Sus scrofa: one gene and its partners. The protein of the gene in region 5 interacts with the protein of the main gene of each other region in a pairwise test. Links are inferred from orthologs where the notes say so. Each region holds a gene or a part of one and is shown on either strand. Other genes may lie near its edges. The genes, in order: LZTFL1, KCTD9, GNMT, baculoviral IAP repeat-containing protein 2, WDYHV1, XIAP and NME1.

Region 1 (4,010 bases), on a different chromosome or scaffold from region 5:
GACTACTATTGCCCAGTTTGATTCTGTCATTTTATTATATGTTATGGATATATTTTCATATCAGTGAACATGGATTCTTCCTGGTTCTTTTTTGAAGCTGCAAAAAAAATTCCACTTTATTGCAGCATAACTTTTTCAGTCATTCCCCTAAAAGTGACATATTTAAATCATCTCAAGATTTTTACCACATCAAAGCTGCAGTAAACATCTCTGTATGTACATCTTTGCACTTTTGTTTTTTCTTAAGTCGATTCTTAGAAGTGAAGACAAATCACTGGGTCAAAGGGCGTGTGCATTTTCAGTTTTGATTTCCAGTGTGTCCTCTGAAAAAAGAAGACCTATTACATCTTTATCCTCCTACCAACATTTTCAGGCATGTCTTTTTTCCTTATGCCCTAGGAAATACCAATTGTCAATAATTTTAATAGTTCCTCACTTACTGATGAAGAAAAATTTGAGCAGAAATGCAGGGACATGGAGGGAGCTTACCCTTGTAGATGAGCAGAAGGGAGTCATCTGGGGGTTGGAAGAGGAGGGAGGAGGAGCTGCTTAAGGACCAGGAAACTTTAGGGGACAGCCATTTGGGTTATGTGGAACAACAGCTCACCTAGAATGCCTAAGCAGCTGTAAAGGCCTGAGGAAATTGAAAAAAAAGTTTGAAAAAAACTTTTATAAAGTAAATTCAGTTAGTTTTGTGAATTCTTTGGTTTGCGAGCAAGAACAACAACAATAAAAAATGGCTGGCTGGATGGATTTAAGGTTGGTCAAAGTTAGTGTTGTAACGGAGGCAACTGGTGAGAAATAGAAACATTTCCTCGTGGAGTGATGACCTGGAGGTCTAGCCTTGGACTAGGAAAAGTGAGTCAAGAAGAAGGGACGCTAGAGCAGGAGAAAATAGGAGGTCCACAAGCTCACAGTTACGTCACAGTCAGGTCAGAGGCAGGGTTTGAGGAAAGTGAAGGAGCTGGAGCAGCTCAGATGGTTGGTGATGATCAGAGAGGGTCACTTCTCATTTCAGGATGTCAGCAGAGCAACAAAGCAGCTGTGGGCTGTGATGAGGTATGGGGAGCGGGGTAGGTGCTAAGGTGAAATAGAGCTCAGGGTTGCAGATAGCAGCAGGCAGAGCCAGGACAAAGGAGCGCTGGCCAGGTCCTCCTCTGGGATGGCGAGAGAGCTTGGAGCAGATGTGACAGGCCTCGAGGTGCTTGAATGCATGAAGGATCCAGAGGTTGGTGGAAGATGGTTGATGGAGGACAGGTGGCAGTGGGTAACCAGAAACAAAACCTGCTGAGGGAGGGTCAGCAGGTGACTGTGAAGGGGGCATGGCTTACCAGTCCCTCCATGGGTGTATGTGTTGAGGGGAGCAGTGGTGGGAAGAAGGAAGTATTTATCTCCTGGGGTTGCTTTGAGGATTAAACTAACTATTGCATTTTCAATGTGAAGCATTTGTTACTGAAACACAGTTAAATGTGCAAAAAATGAGAGTTATGCTGACTCAAGTCATAAAGGGTTTAAAAATATATATCCATTTTAAAGAAGTAACTCTTCATCTTCACAATGTTGTAAATTCTAAGGGAAAAGTTCGTTGGGCACATGGGCAGTCTCTCAACACACAGACAGAACCTTCTTGGGTGGATACAAGCAGAGATCCTAGAAAAAAATTAACTCTGGTTTTTATGGTTTCTCTCACATAAAATAAAATATAGAAATTCACACTTTCTGTTAAGGTGCAAAACTGTTTCTGTCTGATACACGCAGCTGTTAATGTTTGCCTTCTGACTTCCACTGTTTTTAATAAGACCAAGTTGTATCAGATAAGAACAATTAGGGGCCATTTATCTCCACTTCTATTCACAAAAGTTACCATTCTGTGAGTGTTAGATGTTCAGAGTTGCCCTCCACAGGTTTAGTTGAGGATGAATTCTTTTTTTTTTTTTTTTTTTTTGTCATGCCCAGGCCAGGAATCGAACCTGAGCCACAGCAGTGATAACACCAAATCCTCAACCAGGATTTGCCCTCTAGACCACCAGGAAACTCCTAGGATGATTTAATAAACCTGTCCTCACCACCCTTTTCCTCTGCTGTACCTGATGGTGCTGGGGGAGCTTTGCACTGACTGAGTTCAGATAAAGACACTCTGGTCCTGGAAAGACACCCTTAGGTTAACACCAATACCTTTGGTGGGTGTCTTAGCCTCAATGGTAGCAGTAAGCCAGATATATAACCTTTTTTTTTAAGCATTTTTAAAATCTTTTAAGTTGATGTATTTATACACAAATGCATGCATCCCTATAAAAGCATTTAACTTTTCAAACTCTTTATTGAAGTTATATATGTAAGAGCATATATATGTATATATGCTCATTAATTTTCACAAAATAAAAATAGAGAACTTGTACCCAGATCATGAAACAATATTACCATCATATTAGACCTCAGAAGTCCCACTTTACTCCTTTTTAGACAATAACAGATACAGAGATATAACTTATCTTTATATTCCTTTGGTTTTTAGTGTGATGGGTTATTTTATTTTCCCAGTAAAGGTAGTTTGTTTTTCTACTCATGACTTACTCAGCAATCTTTTTGGCAAAGCAGTGACACTTTTGGCAACATTATTTAAGCTTTGCTAGGAATTCACATATTAGACTGTTATGGGTTTGTTATGTTCCCTCTGCCCACTCTGCCTTGCTTTGCTAGGCTAACTCTTGCCAGTCCCTAAAGATTCAGATCAGGGATCTTCTTCAGTGGTTTCCTTGAAGTCCTATACTGAACTGAGTGCCACTTATCTAGTTTCCCAGAAAGTGCCCACATCATGTGAATGTGGCCTTCTAAATGGGTCTCTCTCCCCTGCTACACAACTAGGGGCCTTTAGAGCAGGGACCTCATTTCAATCCTCTTTGCTTTCCCAACATCTAGTAGGCAATTAATACATAAGGCCATAAAATATGTGAGATCGGAAGTAAATATTTCCATTGTTATATATAATATATACTAAAATATAATATGCTGTAAGCCCAAGATATGAAAAGAAAACCGCAAAATCTAAATTAATAATAGTTTTATGGAATATCTTCAAAATGTACCATTAAGTCAACTGATCAACTAGAATGCAATTTGTATTTATATAAAAATGTAAGGTTTAAATTACAAAAAGTAAATAATTCATTCTCAAAGACTTATAAAAGTTACATAAACCATCACAGAATTACACTTAATATGAGAAATAGGGATAGCTGAATGTTCAATAACATACGATACACTTTCCAAGAGAAGGCATGCCCAGAGCCAAAAAAAATCCACCACTACCCACAGTATCTGGAACCCGTTAGGAACTCACAAATGTTCGTGCAGATGTTCCTATTTAACTTCAGTTCAATTCTGCAAACATTGCTCAGAGCTTATTATAGCACAGTCCTTGCGGGGGAGCTCAGGTTGATCACAGAGTAAAGATTCTATCCTTCAAGGAGCTTGAAACGCAGAGCAGGAAAGACAAGTATAAACCGACCAAGAATGATATTTCCTTTTGCATTCCTTCTATTTACGCATTCCACTGAGAAAACTTCCATCCATGAACACAGCTTGTACTGAACCATTCAGGCTTTCCAAAGGGACAAGATAGCCTCCACCTTTGTAGGCAAAATTTCCTGAGAAAATTTAGGTCTGTTTCCCATTTTCTAAGATGAGATGCATTTGGTGAACACCTTTACATTGACAGTTATCCAGGTAAACATTTAACAGAGAGCACAGATCTAGGAAGGCCCACCTTCCTGAATAAAACACTAGAATATTTACTCCATCGTTGTATATCTCTTTTTGCAATTTGACCCTTGAAATAATGACAAATCTTAAAGTACATCTCTGGAAATTCTACTGCCTCATGGGATGAAAATTCTGGTTCCTTGCTCAGGACAACCTTCTCCTCCTCAGTTATCACATCCACCCACAACTCTTCCACCCATTTTTAAAGCCCAGCCCAAATTCCAGTGTCTTCTGGAAGACTCTCCTGA
Region 2 (4,069 bases), on a different chromosome or scaffold from region 5:
CTCTTTTCACATGTGAATGCATTCCCTTCTCTCAGAAGACTTGGGCCCAGCTGACATAGTGATTACACATCAAAAGCAGGTGTGTCTTTCCAGATTGAAAAAAATCCGGTCTTAGCATTAATTTGCATTTTTAAGTAAAAAATACAGGTAAGGCATATGTTATTTCTTCTTAAACTCTCCTAGAACTTCTTGCACACCCCCTGTGGTGGACCATCTCACCCCAGAAAGCAGTTTTAGAAAATGCACAGCTCGCTCTTCAACATGAAAACATTCACCAGTTACACTTATGTTTACTCAGGATATGGAAAAGTCATGGGAGCATATGATGTAGCCCTCAGGGTGACTTTGTGCCTCCCCAAACCCAGGCTTCACAACCGGCCCGGCAACCACTGAACAAGCTTTAAAGGAGAAAAACTTATTTGGAAAAAAAACCAAAAAAAAAAAAACCACCCAAAAACAGGCATTACTCTTATGCCCAGGAAACAAACACAGAAGCTAGGCAAATAAGGAGATAATGAAAGTGACACAGATATTCCAACTGGTGGATAGGAAATCAAACTCTATCGCTGTAGTGTGTCGTTTCAGCTTCATGAAAATCATGTCACCACCATGCCAATCTTGGCTAAATACAGTTCCTTTATTTATATAAAAAGCAGGCTGTTATGTTTTATTCTGCTTTCTTTTGTCAAATAAGAGTAATTATACTACTACTTTCTTAATCAGCTTAAGGGATCAGAGGAGAAACACTGATAACTTTGGCGCAGAATATGCTTTCCAGTTAAGTAGTAAGGATTATGGTCAGACTTATTTTTAATACCGAATCATACTGGTATTCTCCAGTGGGGTTTGCATGATCTTTGTAACAAATATATTAAATTATTTGAGGATTTTTTTTTTGCCCAGTCTTCCAAGATTCTCAGACAAAATGTTTTTAAAGCAAATAAAATTTAAATCCAAAAAACTAACCTAGTCAAAACTAGAGAGCTTTCCAAAACAAACAAACAAACAAAAAAAAACCTTATTAAAAATATGGCAAGACCAAGCCAGCTGATTTTTGACAAGAACAAAATTCAGTAGCTTCAGAAGAGATTTAGAGAATAGCTAAATATTTAGGACAGGGTCCAAACATCTTGTCTTTCATGGAATAACAGAGGAGAGATGTTGAATAAAAGGGTCAGAGGTCTATTTTTGAGAACAAATTACAAGTGTGACTTTAGAGATATTAAATCTTTCTTCTAGTAACAATACATATTTTAGATTACGAGTGGTAGTTATCAACAGACAAAATAGGTACCGACAAAGTTAATAATGGTCAGAAATAACATGAACCTGTGAAACCTATTTAAGGTAGCATTTATGAAAATGCAGGATCCTGAATTTATGCCAGTTGTTTTCATATGAGTATCAAACCTCTAAGACCAGAAGAACGCAAAACTGTAGCCAACAAACTAGGGTGTGGTTCAGATTTTTAGAGCACATTTACTCAAGCTTGAAGAGTAGTTGAAAAGCCCTTTATTTTTTTTTTCTTCACCTTGGCACAATGACAACATTTAAAAATTTATGTTCCCTAAATATGCAGGAAACAAAGCATTCTCGCAAATAAGACAGTGAGGGCAATCTACCTTCACCTCGGACGCTAAGGCTTAGTTATTTCTAAACGTCATTTAGCCACACCATAAATGTCTGCCTTGAACAGTCAAATTTTCCAAAGAAGCCGAGCAACTTTCATGGGTGGGGCAAGAGGCTGAGAAGGAACAGGATTCATTTTGGCTAGCTCCAGCGCTGCACAAATATTTAGCACCACACCCTCAACAAAGGCCTAACACAGCAAAGAGTAATGTCAAATCAACCCATTTTGGTCTATTGTCCCAGTCCTCTAAGGAAATGAAATTAGGTGGATTAATAAAGCGAGTACAGAAGTTTGGCGGCGGCGGAGCTGGGGTTCCTAAAAGAGGGGCGGGTTGGGGGGACCATCAGGAAAATGTCACTAATTTTCAATCCTTCTATTCGATCTGGGATTTACTTATCCACCGATAAAAAAGAGTTTAATTCTTTTCACCTGATTAATGTCCCATGCCTTAGTTGTTACCACCACTTTCTGGAGCAGACCATTACTCAGCACGAAGGTGGGAACCAGCGTTTTCGGGAGCCAGGGGTGGGGGGCAGCGGGGTATCGGGGGAGATGGGAAGAGGAATAGAAGTCTCCAGCGCTCAGGTGACAGCGGTCCTCTGTTCTCCAGGACCCCCACCTGGACTTAGGAACCATTAAGCACAAGCTGACCTGCGCTGGTCCCCATATCAGCTGGGGCGTCCAAGGGCAGACTCAGGCTAGGGATCCCCGAGGTTGAGAGGAGGCCGCGGGGACCCGACGCACACCTTCTCCAGGACACCCCCCAACCCCGGAGCACGCCCACCTCCCCGCTCCCAGCCCCTCTCCCCAACTTCAGCCCTCTGCCCTGCGAGCCCGCTCCGCACTCTGCTGCCCTCGCCCCCCGCAGACGGGCCCGCCTCGCCTCCTCCCGACCCCCTTACCTTTCCATTCTTGGGGCTGCCGTTAAGGAACAGGGTCACCCGCCTCATCGCGCTGCCCCCACTGGGTCCTGAGTGAGTCGCCACCCTCCCACCTGGCTCTCCTCCCACCTTTTTCTTCTCCCGCCCTTCCCCTCCCGCCACCCACTCGGACTCTCCTCCCTTCGCCACCTTCCTTCCCTTACAGACGCACACACACACAGGCACGCACTCTCCGTCCCACACCCCAAGGTTGGCCGGTCCTCCTTCCCACCCCGCCCCTGGGCTCCTCAGTCAGCCTGGGGCCCTTCCCCCACCTCTCCCAAACTGACTCTAAGCTTCGCCAATCATCCGGCCGCGCCGGCCAGAACTCAGCCAATCGTCGCGCTGCACTGGGCGGGCTCTTACTAACCCAACCCAGGTGGAAGGAGGGAACAGAGACTGCTGTCTAGCCTACGGAGAAGGGTTATCGGCCAATCAGAGCTGAACCAGGAGCCAAGCGGCGGCTCAAAGCGTTACTGAGCAGGCGCAAAGCCAAGACCAGGTAGAGCTCATCTGCATACAGAGGCGGAGGTTGATGGAAGGAGGCGGAGCGCTGAAAGCGAGCCACACCAGTCAGCGCCTTCCTATTGTAACCCCTCCCACTCTGTCAGCGCACACAGGAAACGGCTGCCGTCGAGACTGGCTGATTGGGTAAGAGCAGCCGACTGTTCTGTCAGGATTGGCCCAATGATTCTTTTCGAAGTTTGCAGCATCCAATCGGAAGAGCGGGAACTAAGCTACAAGCCATAACCGAAGGCTTCCTCCGCGAGACTCTCAAGAAAGTAGTCTCCACGGACGGAGGTCAATCGCTGGTTTCCCTGGTCACTGTGTCACTGCAGCTAGCGGTGATGTCCCTCCGAGCTCACGAAGCCACACCTGTTCCTGGGACGGCGAGGTGAAGACCTGGGAGCCTTCGGGGTGAGCGTGCACACGTGCGGATGGCGGCGGCGTAGAGATTCGCAGAGCAACGCCGGGACGACGAGGAGGCGGGGCTGGCGATTTGAATCGGGCGGCGGGCCGCGGCCGGGTGGAGGGGAGGGTTCAGGTTTACGCCGGCTCTGGGGATCCGAGCGTCGGCGGCGGGGGACGAGGTAGCCTCCTCGCTGCTGGTTTGGCGGCCGACAGTTGCTTTCTCGAGCGAACCCTTCAGGACCAAAGAGCCGAAGTCTAGAGCGCACGACACTCATCGGTGGAGCGCTCAAAATAAACCCGACCGGAGGAGAGCGGAGCTGCGGGCGCGAAAGGTAGGCGAGTGGCCTGGGTGGGATTTCAGGGACGGTGCTACCGCAGAGATGTTTTTTTTTGGCATGTTTCTCAGAGGTGTGTTCTTCTGGATCACCCCTTTGCTTTTTAAAGTGCAGATTTCCCGGGCCCAGCCAGATCTTCTGAATTAGAATTTTTGAGAATCTGCAAAGCTGCATTTCTAATAGGGTGCCCAGTTCAATTCTGATGTTCGCTAAGGTTTAAAAGCCTTGCTTTATAGTATGAGATCCGCTTTGTTTCCCACATTTCGCTTTAA
Region 3 (4,006 bases), on a different chromosome or scaffold from region 5:
TTCTATTGATGGTAAAAGGGGCAGCGGATGGGAGGTTCCTTTGTTCTAAATTCCATACCTCGGCACTTTCTGAAGCCAAAAGATAGGTGAGGAAGGCTGTTCTTGCTGTCTTGGGCTTCCCTGGGTGGCACCACCTTCCTGAATCTCAGTCCAGGGTCTTGTCCAGGAAGAGACCTGTTTTGGGGAGGAGGGTGGCTGACACTAACCAAACCAAATGACCAATTTATGAGGTGATAATGAGCGATATAAGAGCAAGAGCAAGCACTTCCACCCCTCACTCTGGACTGCCCAGTCTGTGGGCACCTCTGTGGAAAGCAGCCATTAGTGGGGTGCTTGGTTAGAGAGGAACTGGAATCAGACTCCATCTCAAGTGGCTCAGGGAAAAGCTTGATGCATCAGCTACAGGACAGAGGAGCACCTGCCCCCAGATGGGTGGGATGACCCCTTGGGCCAGAACTGCTCCTAGACTTGGATGGCCAAGCCAGCATCATCCCCAGATACTCCCATCCCTCCCTTCGCTGGCTGACCAGGCCCTCTTTGGGCGGGGCAGCCCTTCTTTATATATGCTAATAACCCCCACCCTACCTCCCCACCTCCCCCCCCAGTAGGGACGGTTTTGCCCTGGGCACTCATTGTGGACTGTGAAGTTTCTTTCCAGCTCCCGCTTCTGTTTTTTGTTTTTGTTTTTGTTTTTGTCTTTTTGCTATTTCTTGGGCCGCTCCCGCGGCTTATGGAGGTTCCCAGGCTAGGGGTCGAATCAGAGCTGTAGCCACAGGCCTACGCCAGAGCCACAGCCACGCGGGATCCAAGCCGTGTCTGCAACCTACACCACAGCTCACGGCAACGCCGGATCTTCAACCCACTGAGCAAGGGCAGGGACCTAACCCGCAACCTCATGGTTCCTAGTCGGATTCATTAACCACTGCGCCACGACGGGAACTCCCCAGCTCCCCCTTCTGACCCCTCCTAGGTTCCCCTGGGACCTGGCTTAAGTGGGCAGGGGTTGGGAAGGTCCTTTTGCGCCGAGGGATCATCCACAGGGCAGGATCCTCAGGCAGGCGGGAAGGGCTGGTCTAGGATTGCCAGGCAGCGCCCTCCCAGCGTGCCTACCCGGGCAGCCGCGGCTGCGGGCCCAGGGCCCAGCAGGGGCGTGTCCCCGCTCTCACCTCCCATTGGGCAGGTGGGGCCGCCGGCAGGGGCGTATTATAAATGCAGAGCGGGTGGCTGCGGAGCCAGGCGCCTCGCAGGATGGTGGACAGCGTGTACCGGACCCGCTCCCTGGGGGTGGCGGCTGAAGGGCTCCCGGACCAGTACGCGGACGGAGAGGCGGCGCGCGTGTGGCAGCTGTACATCGGAGACACCCGCAGCCGCACGGCTGAGTACAAGGCTTGGCTGCTCGGACTGCTGCGACAGCACGGCTGCCAGCGAGTCCTCGACGTGGCCTGTGGTACCGGGTGAGCCCGGACGGAAGCCAGGGACCTGGGATGAGCAGGCATCCGGGGGCCAGGGGGAAAGAGGAGCCGGGAGGACACAGGCGACGGGGGACGGGGTCTGCTCCGGCCGGGGTCGCCCGACCGCAGTACCACAGCGGGGCACGTCGGGCAGCCTCCTCCGCCGCTGCCGACCTAGAGCCAGGCAGGGGCGCGACGCCAGGGGCCAGGAATGAGTGTTTACCCAGGCAGAACGAGGAGCAGGGCGAGGCCGACGGCAGGAGGGGGCCGAGGAGACCCAGGGTGAGAGCGAGGGTGTGGGCACTGTGGGTGGAGAAGGCGATCTCGCTGGGGCGGCGCAAGGACCCAGGCTTTGGGGCTTGGAACCCGGCTCCAGGGTCATTCCAGGGTCATTCCCCGGTATGATGGCCTCCGGCAGCGTTAACAGTTAACGCTTGTTTAACATGTGCCCCTGCCAAAGCACTGTACCAGGTGCTTTTGATACATGAGGTTTTAAAATCCTCACAAAACCCCATGAGGTGGGTAGTGATAGCTGTTTACCGTTGTAGGAATTTGGCCTCAGAGAGATAAAGGTGGAGAGGAGATGCAAACCCAGATGGGTTAGGGTCTGGCCTGTGCTCTAAACCCCCATGTTACACTGCCTCCTGTGCTCAAGTTACTTAACATCCAGAAGCCTCAGCTTGCCCCATCTCTCGAATGGGGATAAGACCATCTACCTTACCGGACTGCAATGAGGATTCATGTGCATTTGTAGAATGCCTGACTTGGAATAGGTGCTAAAACACAAAAAGGGTGCTACCTGATGATGAGAATCAGATATGCCAGGTCACTGAGGTCAGTGGAGAGAGCCTGGGGACAGGCAGAAAAATGGACTCTGAGGACCTGAGGAGACAGAAGTGTCCGGCACAGGGCCTCCTCCTTGCCTTCCCTGACCACCCCTCTCTGCCTGTTGGGATTCTGGTCCTGCCCAGGGTGGACTCCATCATGCTAGTGGAAGAAGGCTTCAGTGTGACAAGTGTGGATGCCAGTGACAAGATGCTCAAGTATGCACTTAAAGAGCGCTGGAACCGGCGGCATGAGCCTGCTTTCGACAAGTGGGGTAGGCAGCTCCAGCCAGGTCCCCTCGGCCCAGCCACCAAGGACACTGTTCTCTCTGCTCTGGCTCCTTTAGCTCCTGTGGTGGGGGGTTTTGTTTTCCTCAAGGGGGACAGTAAAATCCCTAAAAAGGGAGGCTTAGGCACAAGAACGAGGTATTGACTATGCTAGTTTTAATTACCTTTATAGTATCTTATCCTTCTCCCCCAAAAGAAACCCATAAGCACAGGGCCCTCCTTCCCCACCACAGCTTCCTATTCCCCTGACCCCTCTTCTCCTTCACCCTCCATGTCCATGATGATCCCCTCCCTCGGGATCCCCTCCCCTGGGGAGGCCCTGTGTGTATCTAGAAGGGGAAAGAGAGGCAAGACTGCACTTGGTGGACACGGGTGCTGCTTGTACTGTGGTACCAGCCTGTTCCCTCTTCCCTTTCCTGGCCCCCAGTCATTGAAGAAGCCAACTGGATGACTCTAGACAAAGATGTGCCCAAGTCACCAATGGGTGGCTTCGATGCTGTCATCTGCCTTGGAAACAGTTTTGCCCACTTGCCAGACTGCAGAGGTGAGAGGGTGTGGCCTTGGGCGTAGACCCTGCTTTGAACCATACCCTTTCCAGACGCAGGGGGAAGGAGAAAGATGGGAGGGAGACTGGTGCCCGGGCCCTGAGCAGACGCAGCCTCTCTACCCTTCCTGGAGTTCAGGGGACCAGAGTGAGCACCGGCTGGCCCTGAAAAACATCACAAGCATGGTGCGGTCAGGGGGCTTGCTGGTCATTGATCATCGAAACTACGACCACATCCTCAGCACAGGCTGTGCACCCCCAGGAAAGAACATCTACTATAAGGTGGGGCCCCTGAGGGAGGGAGGGCCCAGAGTGGGAGGTGGGCTCTCTGGGCCCCACCAGAGTTGCAGAAGCTAACACAGCTGGCACTCCCACCTGCAGAGTGACCTGATCAAGGACATCACGACATCTGTGCTGACAGTGAACAACAAGGCTCACATGGTGACCCTCGATTACACGGTGCAGGTGCCGGGGACTGGCCACAGAGGTTCTCCTGGCTTGAGGTACACTGGCGAGGCAGGGGCTTGGGCAGGGGGCGCTGACACACCAGTCCTGATGGTTGGTCGGGGGCTCTGTTGCAGTAAGTTCCGGCTCTCCTACTACCCTCACTGTCTGGCATCCTTTACGGAGCTGCTACAAACAGCCTTCGGGGGCAAGTGCCAGCACAGTGTCCTAGGAGATTTCAAGCCTTACAAGCCGGGCCAGGCCTACATTCCCTGCTATTTCATCCACGTGCTCAGGAAGACGGACTGAGTGAGGCCTCAGCTCCCACTGCCCTCTGCCCAGGCGCTGCCAGGCTCCGTCTGTGGAGGAGGGGACCAGAAGCCCCACACGGAGCCCAACCCCCAGTGCAGATCCGGGGGTGTGGGAAGGGGTGGGCTGCAGCTGGGGGCAGGGAT
Region 4 (4,084 bases), on a different chromosome or scaffold from region 5:
CTTCCCAAGAGATTGTAACTTGAACTAAACACTGAAATACTATCAAAACTCATGTGCATATTTGGAAGAAGTTTTTAGTCATTGGGAATCAAGCATGCATTTCTTTTCTCTGTATCACAAGCTGTTACAAATACTTTTACTATTAACATTGGAACAGAAGCCCTCCTGTTCTGTTACTGACTGGCAGGCAGAAATGACGGGGAGGAAATGGGAAATGGTTCAGGGTCTCGGAATTCCCCTGGCTGCCTAATTAAGTGGCTTGTTATTTGGAAGTTTTTTTTGAAATATTTGCCCCCTGGAGTTCCCCTGAGAGAAGAAAGCATCCGATATCATTGACAATGAGTGTCTTCACAGAACATAAATTAAAAAATTCTCCTGCCGCCATTCAACTAATACTGCATGCAACTGTCTGTCTTCACCCCATTGCTAAAGAGGGGGCTGGAAAACGTCCCTGACTAGTAAAGGTAGTATTTTGTATTTACAATTTTTTTCTGACAGTTAACTTTTAAAATGTGATGGACAAATGGGCTCCTTTATGGTTCGTGTACGATTTACATATACACACATCTACATAAATGTATATATTCCGTTCTAGCCACATTCAGAAAAAAGGGGGAGTGAAGCCTGGCCTGAAACACCGTGTTCACTTTGCTAGTGATGAAAATAGGACACTTTTCGTTAATGCATTCGTCTCCAGAAGAGAAAAACAGAAAAGATAGTGATTATATAATAGATATGCCCCCCAACATTATAGAATCAAGGCTTCAAAATTAATCTGAGGCTGTTCTGCTTTCCAACACTTGGCTTTTTTCCCATCCCCAGGGCCAGCTGTGGAAGGTTGACGCCAGGCAGCTGCAAAGGGGAAATGGTTACAGCTGTTTACTTAGTTGCAGCCGAAACGCCTCCGGGCTGACTCCACCCTCAAACGCCGTCATCCACGCCGAGGGGAGGGTCCCATTGGAGGAATCCGGCCGGGAACTAATCCCGGCGAGTCGACGTGGGGAGAGGTTCGCCACCCGCGCCCGGGCGTTTCCCCAGGGCTTCCAAAGATTCAAACTCGACGGCTCTCGCCACGTCCCGCTCAGGAGGATGAGAGGGACAGCGAGGGAAAGTGCTCTCGCAGCGAGATTGAAGATTAGCACACCAAGCTCACGCCCAGCCCTGCCTTCCCCTGAGGGCTGACCGCGCGCTGGGTCCCGCTCTCCGCCCACAGACTCCGGGGCGCCCTCGCAGAGGGAGTGACGCGCACCCGGTCGGCGCGCTGACGTCATCGTGCGTCTGCGTGGGCCCTGAGCGGGCGGGGGGGGCCCCAGGAGCTCTAACTGCGCAGCCCAGCCGGCAGTTCAGCCCGCGTCGTTGCTCCCGGGACTGTGGAGGCTCCTGGTGGCACTGCTGTTTCGTGTTGGACGCGTCTGCCCTGTGGTGAGTGCAGGTCCTTCCGGACCCAGGCCTCGCGGGGCTGGGTCGGGGCGCGCAGGCCGCGGGGCCTGCCTTCCCCGAGACTGCAGTTGGGCTGGGGAGGACAGGGCCGGGAGTCGGGGGTCGCAGGTAGCAGTTAGCTCTTTGCTACTCTACTGTCGAAGATGCTTTTGTTTAATTCGGAAGCTCCAGTTCCAAGACATGCTGTCGAAAATAATTTTTTTAATTGACCTGTTTACAAGTCTACTCTGGCCGCTTCTCACTTTTCTGGCCCTTGGCCTTTGGCCAAGATGTTTTAAGAGTTTTTGCAGGGTTTTAAACTTAACCCTCGGTATTCCTTTATTTAATATATTCAAACGGAGACAGTAACGTATCGGCGAGATCTCTTGTTTCAGATAGGTACAACCCCGCTTTGCCACTTTAGTATTCTATTGTATATTGCGAGAAATAACTCGGGGAAATTAATAAAATTCCATAATTTCTCTTCTTTTTCCTTGCAGTCTGTCTCCTTCCCCTTCCCCCCAGCCACAGTTTGCCTAAAGAGGGCAAATCCTGTACAGTTCCTGCAGATTAAAAATATGCAAAGATAGGACCTCAAGTCCTTGTGTAACGGAGGCATTCATTCAAGCGGTCACATTCCCAAGGCCAGTGTTTCATAGGCCATTGTGCTGTGTTTTGTTTTGTGAGTTGCTTTCTGCGAATTGTTGCTTTGGAATTGTGAAGGCATTGTATTCACGAGTTCCTGGTGAATTTTAACTCTTAGTAGTTTTTTTGCCTAGTTCTGGAGAGACTTGACATTAAGAAATAACGTTATTGTCTGGATAACTGCTGTACTGTTGATGATGGGTGCAGTCTATTTTTCACCCTCCCTTTTTACCGCTAGCAAATTGCCATAGATAATTATCCTTAAACTAAATTATAAGTTGTCACCAGAAGAGGGGAGGAGGAGTTCCCGTTGTGGTGCAGTGGAAACGAATCCAACTAGGAACCATGAGGTTGTGGGTTCGATCCCTGGCCTTGCTCAGTGGGTTAAGGAGGTCTCAGACGCGGCTCGGATCTGATGTTGCTGTGGCTGTGGTGTAGGCCGGCAACTATAGCTCTGATTGGACCCCTAGTCTGGGAACCTCCTTATGCCCCGGGTGGCCCTAAAAAGCGCGCGCACACACACACACACACACACACACACACACACACACACAAGAAGAAGAATAGGGGAGGAGACCAGGGGCGAAGTATTTTACTATGTCCATCTGTCTTCAAAGTAGTACATAAAAAAAAAAAAATGTGTACTTATTGCTAAGGGGAGTATACTGCATTTATTTTAAAAGGCTTTGCAATTAATTTTGGTGACAAATTGCTGGAATTAAGATGTATTATTTAGGAGTTCCCGTCGTGGCGCAGTGGTTAACGAATCCGACTAGGAACCATGAGGTTGCGGGTTCGTCCCTGCCCTTGCTCAGTGGGTTAACGATCCGGCGTTGCCGTGAGCTGTGGTGTAGGTTGCAGACGCGGCTCGGATCCTGCGTTGCTGTGGCTCTGGCGTAGGCTGGTGGCTACAGCTCCGATTCAACCCCTAGCCTGGGAACCTCCATATGCTGCGGGAGCGGCCCAGAAATAGCAACAACGACAAAAGACAAAAAAAAAAAAAAAAAAAAAAAAGATGCATTATTTAAAGTATAAGTCACTTTTAGAATTTACTGAATAAATTGAGAAAATTATAAACTGTATTTACTGTGAGAATATGGTTTTCTAAAATAGCTTTTGTTTTTTCTTTTCAGATTTACAGTCCTGAAGAGTCTACTTTTGCCCTCTCATTTTTTCCCATTGAAGTAATAAATCCAGTTGTGGAGACTCAGAAACTTTATGAAGGGATATAGTTTGCATTCTGTGCAATGTAATTTTGTGTATGAATTATATTTTTAATTTATGAAGGGTTTTCAGAAAGAAGGCTAGTAGGGTTAATTATTGGTACATTACGCATGAATAGTGATTCTGTTGATAATGCAGTATCTTCTTAGGCTTATGTGTTAACACTAGAAAGGACAAACTGTATCTTGATAAATATTTACCTTTAATTACAAAATGAGTAATATACATGCATGATTCTTAAACAAAAAAAGTTAATTTTTTAAGAAAGTTTCTCCTGTGAAAATTTTATGGTTAACTAGTTAAATTTATGGAGAAAATACCCTCAATTGATCAAGTGTAATAAACTGTTTGCAAAGTTAGGAAGAAAAACAACATAATGATGCTGCAGGTAATGGAAACAAATATAGACAATATTTAACAAAGATGGAAGAGTTATCAGTTTTTGAAGGAAGCAGAATTCATTTCCTTTGACATCACACAGGCTTCAAGAAAGCTAGTAGGTATTGACATCCCCGAAAGTTGTTAGCTGAAGCTAATTTAACCTTCTTAAGTAAATACTGCGTTGGTAAACTGTGAAATTAGCTTTTAGATAATGCGACCATATGGAGACTTTAATTCTTTTTTACTAGAATAAAAGATTTTTTAAAGTATCATACTAAAGTGCTGGTAGGGAAAGAAGCCTGCATTTAGTTTTTTTCCTCTTGTAGAATAATAATTAATTGGCTTTATAACCAGGCTTTGTAACTTATAACCAAAGGCAAATTAAAGGCATAATTTAGGTATTCTATGCTTGTTT
Region 5 (3,508 bases):
CGCATCCTCATGGATACTAGTCAGGTTCGTTACTGCTGAGCCACAGCAGGAACTCCTATATCTGTACTTTAATAGCACACTTTGTCATAAATAATAGGGAGTACATAGTTCAAAAAAAACCAACACAAAGTAGAAGATGTTAAGGGAGAGACAGGTTTTGGAAAGGCAGAGACTCCGGCAGGGGCGGGAGAAGATCACAGATGGGCTCATGAGGAAGAAAGCAGACAGAGCTTGAGTGATGGGTACGGAGAGGGGCAGTGGAGGAGGTCGTGCAGGAGGAGTGGAGTAACACAAATAAGCCTAGGGGAAGGAATCTGTGGACTGTTATGGGGGAGCAGCTTTTAGTTCATTTATCTGGAGGGTAGGATGCATTAAGGGGCAGTACAGGGAATAAGCGTTCATTTCTGATGCTGGATCTGCTTTACTAAGATAGAGTTGGAGCCAAAGGAAGCACTTTAGGCTCTGATGGTACAACATCTCCAGTCTCAATTAATTATCTGCCCCACCTCACAGGGTCAAATGAAATGTTTGAGAAAGTGCTTTGTGAGCTCCGAAGCACTGGAAATGTAAGATGGTATTTCTGATGTTGTATTAATGTGATTGAACTTTTTATCTCACAGTACTGTTCTCTATGAGAGATTTTTTTCCCTAAGGAGCTCTGAGCACCGGACTATTGCATGTCCCTTGATAACCACCCTGACATGCCTCCCAGCCCTTAGCTGGTGTGGGCTGCACTGGGCATCTGGCATCGAGAGTGAGAAGTCACACGTGCACTGGGACCCAGCTGTGCGGGAGAAGCTCTGTGTCTTTCTTCTGTAATGACTACAGACTAGGGCCTGGCTGGTTTAAAAACAATCGCAACAACATTTTATTTTTATTTTTTGTTTTTGCATGTTCATCTTTATTAGAAATGCCCCAAAATAAAAGTCTGCATGAATATACCAGTTATACTCCCACTAGTGGTAGGAGGGAATCTTCTGTTGTCTCCCTCTCATATACTTGGTATAGATAGATTTTGATTTAATTTTAATTATTATCAAATTGCTAAATATAAAATTGTGTTTTATTATGGATTTAAAGTTCTCTCTGATATAAATGGAATTGAGCTTCTGTACATAGTCTTCTAGTTTATTTGCATTTCCTTTGTGAAACACCCGTTGATATTTTTCTTTTTCTTTTTTTAATTAAAGTGTAGTTGATTTACAGTGTTGTGCAATTTCTGCTGTACAGCAGAGTGACCCAGGCATACATATATATACATTCTTTTTCTAATATTATCTTCCATCATGTTCTGTCACAAGAGGTTGGGTGTAGTGCCCTGAGCTGTGCAGTAGGACCTCATTGCTTATCCATTCTCAGTGTCATAGTTCGCATCTACTAGCCCAAAACTCCCAGTCCATCCCATTCCCTCCCCCCTGCCCCTTGGCAACCATAAGTTTGTTCTCCATGTCTGTGAGTCTGTTTCTGTTCTGTAGATGGGTTCATCTGTGCCATATTTTAGATTTCACATTTAAGTGATACTATGTGGTTGTTTTTTCTCTTTCTGATTTCACTTAGAATCTTTAGTTGAATCCATGTTACTGCAAATGGCATTATTTTGTTTTTTTTTTAATGGCTGAGTAGTATTCCGTTGTGTATATGTACCACATCTTCTTAATTCATTTGTCTGTTGATGAATATTTAGGTTGTTCCTGTGTCTTGGTTATTGTCAATAGTGCTGAACATAGGGGTGCAATTATCTTTTTTTTTTTTTTTTTTTTTGCTTTTTTAGGGCTCCGCTGGTGGCACATGGAGGTTCCAAGGCTAGGGTTTGAATCGGAGCTATAGCTGCTGGCCTACACCGCAGCCAAATTAATGAAAGATCCAAGCTGTGCGTCTGTGACCTACACCACAGCTCACGGCAACGCTGGATCCTTAACCCACTGAGCGAGGGTTCAAACCCACAACCTCTTAGTTCCTAGTCGGATTTGTTTCTGCTGCGCCACAATGGGAATTCCTGAGTGAATGTTTTGTCTGGATAGTTACCCAGGAGTGGGATTGTTGGATCATATGGTAGTTCTATATTTAGTTTTTTGAGGAATCTCCATACTGTTTTCCATAGTGACAACATTTTAAAGTCTTTCTTCCCCTCTCCAGGCTCACCATAAGCCGTCCCCTTTGTTGGTGGTTGGAGGATATCCTTGTAGGCTTTTTTCTCTGTACTCACACTCGTGCATGTGTACTTCTGAATGCTCATGTCTGTCTCTGTATACACATACATTTGAAAAATACAATAATCAGCAGTTTGCTTCCACCATCGAACCGTATAACATGGACTTAATCCACTTTCACATAAATTTACCTATTTTTTTATTTTTTGGCTGTGCCTGCAGTGTGTAGAAGTTCCCGGGCCAGGAATCGCACCTGAGCCACAGCAGTGACGTGCTAGATCCCTAACCTGCTGAGCCATTGGAGAACTCCGCATTTACCTGACTCCTTTAAGTAGCCCCCTGGGACTCCATCTTATGGCTGCACCGTAGTTTGTGAACCATTCCTCTCGGTGGACTTCTGGTTGCTTCTGAATTTTCAGTTATAAGCAATGCTGCAGAGATTTTCTTTGCATATATACCTCTCCATACACACGGCCGATTTTCTGTAGGATGGATTCCTCAGGGTAAAGTTGCTAGGCCAAGGGTGTACATTTAATGTACATCAACATTTCCACCGGTTGCTTACCTGTTCCCCGTCACTGGACTTTTGGCCTGTTTTCAGGGTTTTGTGTTTGCTTTATTTGCTGTTATAAGGAGGGCTGTATTTGTCTTGTCCATTTTTGATGATATGTATGCAGTACTGGTATACCCTTGGAATACACGATCGTAGGGTAATCTGGTTAATTTCAGCAACTTTTACTTCTAGGATTACCATGTTGTCTTGCTTCATGTGTCGAGTGGAGGACAGAGCTTCATTTATGACCTTGACACTGTCCTGCCATTTCCCTGCCCCTTTGATACGTATGTGGAAGATGCCTTTAAGTCTGATGAGGACATTCATCCGCAGTTTAGAAGGTGAGGAGATTCAAGGTGGATTTATCAACTTTCTGCAATCGGACCTTGATAATAATTAATATTCAGTTGTTTTGTTTGTGTGTTTGTTTTTGCATTGGTTTTATAAACATCAGTTGTCTGGGCTTCACCATTTAGTCGAGGTTTGAGAATGATGTGCTATATAGAAGATTCAAAATGTTTTAAAGTTTTAAATGTTGTCCGTTGTGTAAAAGGTTGGCAGTCTTTTAAAAATTTGTGTGATGAGATCCAAAACATTTTTCTGAAAGTTGTTGTGGGGCTCTCTGTCCTTTTCTTATTTTTGGGGGGAGTGTGGTGGGATGGTGTGGGGTGGGTGAGTAGGATGCCTTATGATGCCACCGTGGAGAGCGCTGTGATGGCAGTCTCTGAAAACTACCCTTTGCCCCTGATACACAGTTGGGAAAGTAAAGGCAGCTAGATATATTTCCATGCCTTTGAAGTTTGGG
Region 6 (4,264 bases), on a different chromosome or scaffold from region 5:
GAATATAAAATATTAAGATGATAAATAATGGGGAATTACTTAGGAAAACAAAACCAATGTTAAACACTTTAATATCTACCTGTATACCTATGATGCTACCTATTCAATAAAAGAGTATCTTCAGCCACTTAAAAAAAAGATGTAATATTCCAATTGCTCTTTTCATGTTTTGAATTAAATGGAATATATTTAAAAAGTTATGAAAAAGAAAAAAAGAAATATGGAGGCAATGAGGTTGAGTGATTTGCTCATAATTACACAGTTTACCTGAAACAAAGCCAACACAAGAACCCTGGCTTCCAATCAAGGGCTCTTTCCACCAAACCTCATGACCTCTTAAGAATAGCTTTTGTTCAGTTCAACTTATTTTACCACTACTGTTTTTATCTCCTCAAATCTGCTCACACAATGACCTTAAACAGTGTTACAGATTACACTGTAATACTATTACCAGATCAGACCACAGAGACAAAGCTTTAGAACTGACAGCTCATGATAATCTCCCGTCCTCAAAAGAACAAGGGCATCTATTTTGCCATACTCATCTTTGGAATTCTAGCACATAGTGTAATACCTGGCATACATAGTAAGTGCTCAATAAATTAAAAAAAAAATCATAGATTTTTTTCCCCCTGTTAGCACCAACTACCAGACCAAAAAAAAAAAAAAAAAACCCAAAACAGTGAAATATAAATTATTTCATATTTGGGGTCTCTAAGCATTTATTAACTTTTTTTTTGTCTTTTTGTCCTTTTAGGGCTGCACCTGAGGCATATGGAGGTTCCCAGGCTAGGGGTCTAATTGGAGCTGTAGCTGCTGGCCTATACCACAGCTCAAGGCAACGCTGGATCCTTAACCCACTGAGCAAGGTCAGGGATCAACCTCATGGTTCCTAGTCGGATTCATTAACCACTGAGCCACGATGGGAACTCCAGCATTTATTAATTAAATAAAAGACTTCTTAAGTGAAGGCTTACAACCAAATATAAGGGGAATATTTACATTACTAAAATATTTCAAGCATTATACAAACTGATACATTAATTGCAATAATACTTATCTACTGAAATGGGCTGGACTAATCTTTAGTCAGATTACTTCATCCCCCTAGATGAATGCACTAGAAAGTGATAAAACTGCAGATGTAGTACAAGGAGCCCTGGACTAGGACCTACACTAATCCAAGCTCTGTTAATAATCAAATATATAACCTTGGGCAACTTCCTTTTTCATCTTTATGTCTTAACCTTTCATAAAAACAAAAGAGCTGAACAATTAATTACCAGGGACCTTTCCAGTCTTAAATTTTTTATTGAGTTTTATCCACAAAGATTCCACATTCAGAATTTTTTCATTGTGTCAAATTTGATACCCTGAATGTTATAATTTGCTACATTATTCAATAATCAAAAGCTTAGCACATCTCCTAAAAATATATAAAAACTAATAACATATATTATTGTTACCTTCTTACATTAGGATCAATAGAAGAAAACCAAAGATGAAATGTTAGCATCCAATAATCTGGCCTGCTTTGCCAGTTGGGCTGAAATGAACCAATCTGGATTTTACAGTACAAACCACTGATACCTAAATACATATAGGTATATAAACATATATACACACACCACTGGTACTTGTTCATACTGATACACACGTGTGTGTGAACTTTAAAACTTGTTTTTAGTTATAAAATCAATAGTTGTTTATGGTAAAAAATTCAAACGATACATTTGGTCACATGTGAAGTGCAAGTAAAAAGCCTCCCACCCCCTCCACCCTCCATAAGTAACCACTGATGACATTTTTTTTTGTGCACCATTCAAGAAATTATCTGAGCATATACAAGTAGGCCTGTCTATGTATACATTTTTTTAACCTAAATCTTTGCCATTCCTTGAACGACGGGGAAAAATACCTCAAGCACTGGCTTCATAAACATGTTAAATACGTTGAAAGTAGGCAGCACAGTTGTATGGCACAAAGTGGTACATACTTCCAAAATGTGCACCGAATACGTTTTAATTTTCTTGCTTGGAGGCTATGTGGAGCAGCTGAGCAGAAAGAGCAGTGAGCCAGGAGCCAGACAACCTGGGTTCTAATCTAAGTAATGGAGTAGCCTCAGGCAAGCCATGAAATCTTCTTGTGCCTTAGTTTCTGCTTTTGTAAAATACCGCGGTTGAACTAAGATCCCTTTCAACTCTAAAATGTTATAATTCTAAGATGGCCGTCTGTAACAGTGTTCTCTTGAACTGGATATAACAAATGTTAAGTTAAAAAAGACAAGAAACAAACACTATAGCAACCTCCAATCTTAGAGCAAATATCTGTGTGTCATTAACTACAAAAGTAGTACATTTGTGACATAAATAGTGATGTAATTACATTTTAAAACAAAGTAGTAGATTATTAAAATCTGATAGGTCTTTACAAAGCTTTGATTGACGTTTTTCTTTTTCTGAAGGGTTAGTGGGCTGTCGTTTAGTTTCAGCAATAACCCCTCCTCCCGAAACGAAAAGAATTAAGTGTATTACGGAGTTAAAATAATGAAACTGAAAGTTAGACCGAATTTTGTTTTACTCACAGAATATGCTGGGGAGGTGACGAGGGTAGCAAAGGTTGGAAAGAATTACTAGCTAATTTCCTCTTCCGGAAGGTCCTTGGCTCCTATTCTTTCTGTTTCACACACTCTCGCCAGACACACCCCACCCAGCTCCATACCTGCCGCAGGCATTAGATTGGGGGGGGGGTGTCCCTTGGATCATTAAGAGAAAAAAGTTCTTTGACTCGATTTACCTTAGAGGTCATGGGTTTAAGGAGGCAGCCTGGCGGCCCGATGCCACCCACGCCTTTCTTCGGCAGTCCAGGGAACCTGGGCACTGAGTCCCGGGCGGGCCACCCGCGCCGGGCAGGGGCTGCCTTTCCGCCCTTCCCCGCAGCGCGGGGCCCGAGGGGAGGGAGGGGAAGGAGGAGAGGGAGGGGAGAAGAAGGAGGGGAGGGAGGGAGGGGAGGGAAAAGAAGGAAAGGGGAGGGAGGAGGAAGCCCGTTCGGGCAGTACCCACCGCGCCTTGAGAGCCGGCCTGGATCGCCCGGGGCGCACCGCGCAGTGCTGAGGGGAGGGTCCTGGAGGAGGGGCGGCCCAAGCCCCAATCTGGAAATGCCAACTCCTCCCGGAGGCCAGGCCCCGGCTAGAAGGAAACGGAAGTCTCTTAGTCTCCCCAGCTCGCACGTAGCAGCCCGCCTATCCCCGGGAGGAACCCCGAGTCGGGGAATCCAAAGTGCGTTCACGTCAGGGCCTCAAAGAGACACAGCACACGGCACTGCCCATCCGCCCCCGGCGCCCGCCCGCGCAGTCTCCTGGCCTCTGCCCCCGCCCAGCAAAGCCCCTCCTCCTTCCCCTTCCGCCATTTTCGAATTTACCCCTCCTGCCCAGGCCTCCCTCGATTAGCCCTGAGCTCGTCCACGAAGCCGCTGAAGGCCTGCCATTTTTTTCGGCCGGAAGGGGGCGACCCAGAGGAACGCGGCCCTATTACCCTCCCCCCACCCCACAAGCTGGATACTAGGACCTGAAAGAGCGAGCGCATGCGCAATGGGCACCTCAAGTCCCGCCCCCAGGTCAAGCATTTCCTCTTGTGCCTCAAGGTGTTTTTTCCCGCGGTTTTTACCTGATGAGCTCTAGGGTGGAGGAGTGGGGGAAGTGAGTTAAAAGAATGAAAAGATAAAGAGAGCGAACATGTTGAGTTCTTACTGTAGACCAATCACTGTGGTCGGCATGAGACCTGTTCTTTGTTGTAATTTTGACAACCCTCTAAGGTAGGCACTCTCATGTAACACCACTTTAACGGGAAAATTGAGGCCCAGAGAGGGGCTAACTGCCCCATAGCACGCAGCTAATAAACGAGGGAACTGAGGAATTCCCATTGTGGCTCAGCGAGTTAAGAACCTGACCAGTATCCATGAAGATGCGGGTTGGATCCCTGGCCTCACTCGGTAGGTTAAGGAACCAGCATTGCTGTGGTGTAGGTCGCAGACCCGGCTGTGGTCTGGCGTTGCTGTGGCTGTGGTGTAGGCTGGCAGCTGCTCCAATTAGACCCCTAGCCTGGGAACTGCCATATGCCTCAGGTATGGCCCTAAAAACAGCAAAATAATAATAATAATAAAAACCAAGGGAACTGAGATTAGGATATGATCTGTGTCCAAGGAGGGAAGGTGAAAGGAAAAAGAAAGGGAGCCAGTGGGAGCGGGAAGAGGATTGGAATATGAA
Region 7 (4,189 bases), on a different chromosome or scaffold from region 5:
CAGACTCGCCTCAGATCCCGTGTTGCTGTGGCTCTGGCGTAGGCCGGCAGCTACAGCTCCAATTCGACCCCTAACCTGGGAACCTCCATATGCCGCGGGAGCAGCCCTAGAAAAGGGCAAAAAGACAATAAATAAATAAATAAATAAAGTACTAAAAAGTAAAACCACCCTGGCCAGGTGGACTGAAGTACTGTCCCAGACTTTGATACATTTGAATGATGAACCAGTAGAACTTGTGGCCTTTTATGCCAGACGAGAGACCCCTGCCAAGATACCCAATGTCTTGGGAAACAGCTCTCTCTGTGGATCAATGGACTGTGCTGCTGAGAACACTAAGCCCCACCCCTGGGTGAGGGGGAATTACTCAGTTTCCACTGGGAGGCTGCAGCCCTGCCACAAGCTGGCCTGTTGAGATGTGCTATACCTGGAAGGGAACATGCACCTCTGAAGAGGGGAGAAGGAAGGGGTCCTGGTCTGGCATATCCCACGCCTACTCCATCTCCTCATGCCAGACAGGGCTGCCTGCCCTGGCCAACATGTATAGCATACATAACTAGGTCAAGTTCCTAGAGCTGCCAACCTCCCTCTCCTCCAGGCCAGATGGGCACATTCGGTTTCCCACTGGAACAATCATTTAGCCACCATTTTTGTCCCCTCCTTTGGCCTGACGGGCATTATAGCACAGAGAGAAGCCCTTACTAAATTCACCCAGCAAGCCTTAAATACTAGCCTGCAAAACCTGTCTTTATGGAACACTTTATCTTTAATGGCAAAAGCTGTCCTCCAAAGCAGGACATTATTACTGCCTGACAAAGGGATTTAGTAAATCAATGGTTCAGATGATGAGGCTCCTGGAGGAGAAAATTGTTATTATTTAGGGAATCGTCTTAATCCATGCGTCTCTTACACATGCCTCTATAATGCTGCTCTGACATCTGCCTCCACTGCAATCAGATGGCTGCCAAATGAGCCGCCTCCACCCTTTGCTGATCTCTCAGGGCACAATGCATCTGGGGAGTGGGGATGAGATTGTGAGAGCTAGTTGCAAGGGGTGGAGTATTGGAGGAGGTCATGGAGAGAATACGTCCCCAGGCAACTAGAGGCTCCTCACCTCTGTTTTTGAAAGGTACACTCTGCCTACTGTCCCCATAGTAGGGGCTGTTCGAAGGACAAAACATAGCCTTGAGAGAGTAAAGTGTTGTTGAGACCATCTGGACTGAATAGATGACTAAACCCATTTAAAGACTCTATGCATAACTTTTAAAATTCTGGTAGGTGACAGCAGCCACCTCAAGCTCCCTTGGTCATTATAACTGCCACCTATAATCTGGAGTGGTCTGCCTTTCTTCAGTCTCTCCTTGCCTTTGTGTGCAGAAGCCAGTTTTTTGTTTTTGTTTTTATTTTTAGGGCTGTACCCACCCTTCTAGCATACAGAAAGGCTAGAGGTAGAATCAGAGTGCAGCTGCAGGCCTACACCACAGCCACAGCCACACCAGATCCACGCTGCATCTGTGACCTACGCTGCAGCTTGTGGCAATGTGTATCCTTAACCCACTGAGTGAGGCCAGGGATCGAACCTGCATCCTTACAGACACTAGTCGGCTTCTTAAGCCACTGAGCCACAATGGGGACTAACATAAGCATCTACTGGGTACCCAATACTATGGCAGAACTGAGACAAGAAGTATTAAGAGAAAAAGAAAAGAATATCTTTCTGGATTATCCAGATGAGGGAAACTACAGTGATAATATGTGAGTGATGTCTAAAACAAGGCAGTATGAAATACAGTTTGACCTACTACCTCAGCATGCTATAACAGGAAGGAGTTTAGAGATTATTTCATTACAATCTTTTCTTTTACAAATGAGGAAACACATCTGGAGTACCAGAAGGAGGGTCACAATCCAGATTTCCCAACCCTCTGCAGCTTATGCTACATCACAAGATTAATGAATATTCTGACTAACCAATAAATGGTGGATTGTGGGAGAACTGTAGCCATGAGTAATATCTGTTGGAAGAAAGCCTAGAGACCACCTACTTCAGACTCTTCCTTTTACAGATAAGAAGTCTCAACTCAGGACCTGCTCTGCCTCCACAAGATGACAAAGGAGTCCCCTCACCTTGAAAGACAATCCCTATGTGGATAGCAGCACCACCTCCTGGCTCTACCTTCCTATAATTTAGTTGGCCTTTTATTACAACACCTTAACAATATATGTGAATTTTCTGTTTATTTCTCACAGGCCTGCCCCTGAATACAGAGATGATTTACTTCCCTAGTACCTAGTTACAGAGCCTAGTACTCAATAAGAGCAAAGAAAATGTCTTAAATGATAACCGCCCTGCACCTCCAAGAAAAAGAGACAAGGCCCAAGAACTGGCGGAGAACTCCTAATAGAAGCTACAGACAAGCATGAATTCCCTAGGAGAACATGGGGCTAAAGAGCCACAAACAGCAGTCCCTATACGTGTTCCCCACACCCACTCTTGATACATATCTGTCATTCATTCAGTAAGCACTGAGCACTGCACTCGATATAAACAAATAAGGCACAACCCTTACAGTCACGGACTGATGGGAAAAGCAGCCACGGACAAAGCCGAGTCCACGTGGCGCGGGACGTGAGCTGACAGGTTTGCACCTGTCAATGGGTGCGTCCCTCCCACCCGATCCCCCTGGCCACTTCTCCGAGTGGAACTTACCCGACCTCTTCACCTCCCCCTCCCTGGACCCCACTCTTCTCCCTTTTCTCTCAGGACCTCGAACCCTTCTCACCCCTCCGGGCACTTGGGCTTCAACTCCGTCGCCTGTCACCCGCACCGGAAACACGCCCCAGCTCCTCGTGGTTCCTAGCACCCGCTCGCGCGGAACGCTTCTGCGCATAATCGGCTGCAGGAGAGCCCATTTTGCAGAACACCACTCGCCTACGCTTCCTCCCGACAGTCGGATATCGTTCAAGGGAGCAACTTCCTGAAGTTCAACTTCCGGTACGGCTTCTCCCTATTCTTCTCGCACGCTGCAGCCATCTTTTTTTTCCCTTTAAGATCTGTGACTCACTTCCTTCTTTCGCGAGCAAACTGGCTTCCCGAGAGGTGGCGCTCACACTTTGCGTGAAAACTGAACTAGCGCCTGACCTAGAAGTAGTCAGTGTCCTCGTTTTACATTTGCTCATTCTTTCCAGCCTGTCAAGCAAATTATTTATTGAGTACCTTCTATGTGTCAGATATTGTTTCAGAGTCTGGGGTATAGCAGTAAACTTTCTTGGAACTTCTCGTGGGGTTGGGAATAAAGACAAACAATAAACAAATGAGCAAATTAACATGTAATATATCATAGTATGTAAATATTACTGAGAAAAAGCACAGCGAGGGGGTAGGGTAAAGGAGTACTTTAAATGTTGACTGGTGTGCTCTCTCAGGGGGTGACAGTAGAATAGACCTGCTGAAGTCAGATTACCTGAGAGCCAGTGGACATTAAGTGCTAGAAAATGCAACTGGAGAGCAGCAAGATTATGATGTGGTGGGAAGCCATTGGAGAATTTTGAGCAGGGCATGATATCATCTGATACATTTAAAAAAAAAAATCATTGCCTGCTGCAGGAGGAATGGCTGTGGTAAAGTACAGGATAGAATCAGGAGCCTTTTCAAAAAATGTGCTGGAGCACCTATAGGCAGAAAGAAAGTAAGAAGAAAGGAAGGAAGGAAAGAAAAAACCTCCACCTAAACCTCCCACTTTGAAAGAAAATCACTCCAGAGGGATTATAGATTTGTAAGTGTAAAACTATGTGGATAGGAGTTCCCTTGTAGCACAGCAGGTTAAGGATACAGCATTGTCACTGCAGCAGATTGGGTAGCTGCGGTGGCATGGATTTGATCCCGAGCTCAGAGAACTTCCACATGCCCCGGGTGCAACCCAAAAACCCCCAAAACAAAACAGGTGGCGGCTCAGAGAATTACAAACCTAACTAGTATCCATGAGGATATGGGTTCAATCCCTATCCTGGCTCAGTGGGTTAAGGATCCAGCATTGCCGTGAACTGTGGTGTAGGTGACAGACACAGCTCAGATCTGGCTTGGCCTTGGCTGTGGCTGTGACTGTGGTGTAGGCCAGCAGCTGCAGCTCTGATTCAACCACAAGCGTGGGAACTTACATATGCCGAAGGTGTAGCCCTAAAAAGCAAAAAA

Evidence for each region.
Region 1: the proteins of WDYHV1 (region 5) and LZTFL1 interact in binary tests that used the Homo sapiens proteins (3 or more experiments, as listed by UniProt). The two-hybrid records come from large-scale screens. The link is inferred for Sus scrofa from reciprocal best matches to the Homo sapiens genes NTAQ1 and LZTFL1.
Region 2: the proteins of WDYHV1 (region 5) and KCTD9 interact in binary tests that used the Homo sapiens proteins (3 or more experiments, as listed by UniProt). The link is inferred for Sus scrofa from reciprocal best matches to the Homo sapiens genes NTAQ1 and KCTD9.
Region 3: the proteins of WDYHV1 (region 5) and GNMT interact in binary tests that used the Homo sapiens proteins (3 or more experiments, as listed by UniProt). The two-hybrid records come from large-scale screens. The link is inferred for Sus scrofa from reciprocal best matches to the Homo sapiens genes NTAQ1 and GNMT.
Region 4: the proteins of WDYHV1 (region 5) and baculoviral IAP repeat-containing protein 2 interact in binary tests that used the Homo sapiens proteins (3 or more experiments, as listed by UniProt). The two-hybrid records come from large-scale screens. The link is inferred for Sus scrofa from reciprocal best matches to the Homo sapiens genes NTAQ1 and BIRC2.
Region 6: the proteins of WDYHV1 (region 5) and XIAP interact in binary tests that used the Homo sapiens proteins (3 or more experiments, as listed by UniProt). The two-hybrid records come from large-scale screens. The link is inferred for Sus scrofa from reciprocal best matches to the Homo sapiens genes NTAQ1 and XIAP.
Region 7: the proteins of WDYHV1 (region 5) and NME1 interact in binary tests that used the Homo sapiens proteins (3 or more experiments, as listed by UniProt). The two-hybrid records come from large-scale screens. The link is inferred for Sus scrofa from reciprocal best matches to the Homo sapiens genes NTAQ1 and NME1.

The regions. Positions count from the first base shown.
Region 1 is NC_010455.5:29,002,443-29,006,452, reverse strand, and holds the start of LZTFL1 (leucine zipper transcription factor-like protein 1), read left to right. Parts: upstream 1-1,207; 5' UTR 1,208-1,213; coding exon 1,214-1,228; intron 1,229-4,010. UniProt on the Homo sapiens protein: Regulates ciliary localization of the BBSome complex. Together with the BBSome complex, controls SMO ciliary trafficking and contributes to the sonic hedgehog (SHH) pathway regulation. May play a role in neurite outgrowth. May have tumor suppressor function.
Region 2 is NC_010456.5:9,514,883-9,518,951, forward strand, and holds the start of KCTD9 (BTB/POZ domain-containing protein KCTD9), read right to left. Parts: upstream 2,805-4,069; 5' UTR 2,581-2,804; coding exon 2,533-2,580; intron 1-2,532. UniProt on the Homo sapiens protein: Substrate-specific adapter of a BCR (BTB-CUL3-RBX1) E3 ubiquitin-protein ligase complex, which mediates the ubiquitination of target proteins, leading to their degradation by the proteasome.
Region 3 is NC_010449.5:38,037,154-38,041,159, forward strand, and holds the start of GNMT (glycine N-methyltransferase), read left to right. Parts: upstream 1-1,205; 5' UTR 1,206-1,248; coding exon 1,249-1,454; intron 1,455-2,422; coding exon 2,423-2,550; intron 2,551-2,698; exon of another isoform or gene 2,699-2,990; coding exon 2,991-3,107; exon of another isoform or gene 3,108-3,246; coding exon 3,247-3,389; intron 3,390-3,488; coding exon 3,489-3,610; intron 3,611-3,688; coding exon 3,689-3,860; 3' UTR 3,861-4,006. UniProt on the Homo sapiens protein: Catalyzes the methylation of glycine by using S-adenosylmethionine (AdoMet) to form N-methylglycine (sarcosine) with the concomitant production of S-adenosylhomocysteine (AdoHcy), a reaction regulated by the binding of 5-methyltetrahydrofolate.
Region 4 is NC_010451.4:33,040,323-33,044,406, forward strand, and holds the start of baculoviral IAP repeat-containing protein 2, read left to right. Parts: upstream 1-1,284; 5' UTR 1,285-1,422; intron 1,423-1,919; exon of another isoform or gene 1,920-2,101; intron 2,102-3,197; 5' UTR 3,198-3,313; exon of another isoform or gene 3,314-4,084. UniProt on the Homo sapiens protein: Multi-functional protein which regulates not only caspases and apoptosis, but also modulates inflammatory signaling and immunity, mitogenic kinase signaling, and cell proliferation, as well as cell invasion and metastasis.
Region 5 is NC_010446.5:15,985,434-15,988,941, reverse strand, and holds part of WDYHV1 (protein N-terminal glutamine amidohydrolase), read left to right. Parts: intron 1-2,895; coding exon 2,896-3,044; intron 3,045-3,508. UniProt on the Homo sapiens protein: Mediates the side-chain deamidation of N-terminal glutamine residues to glutamate, an important step in N-end rule pathway of protein degradation.
Region 6 is NC_010461.5:101,398,721-101,402,984, reverse strand, and holds the start of XIAP (E3 ubiquitin-protein ligase XIAP), read right to left. Parts: upstream 2,809-4,264; 5' UTR 2,797-2,808; exon of another isoform or gene 2,585-2,796; intron 1-2,584.
Region 7 is NC_010454.4:27,415,048-27,419,236, reverse strand, and holds the start of NME1 (nucleoside diphosphate kinase A), read right to left. Parts: upstream 2,801-4,189; 5' UTR 2,708-2,800; intron 1-2,707. UniProt on the Homo sapiens protein: Major role in the synthesis of nucleoside triphosphates other than ATP. The ATP gamma phosphate is transferred to the NDP beta phosphate via a ping-pong mechanism, using a phosphorylated active-site intermediate.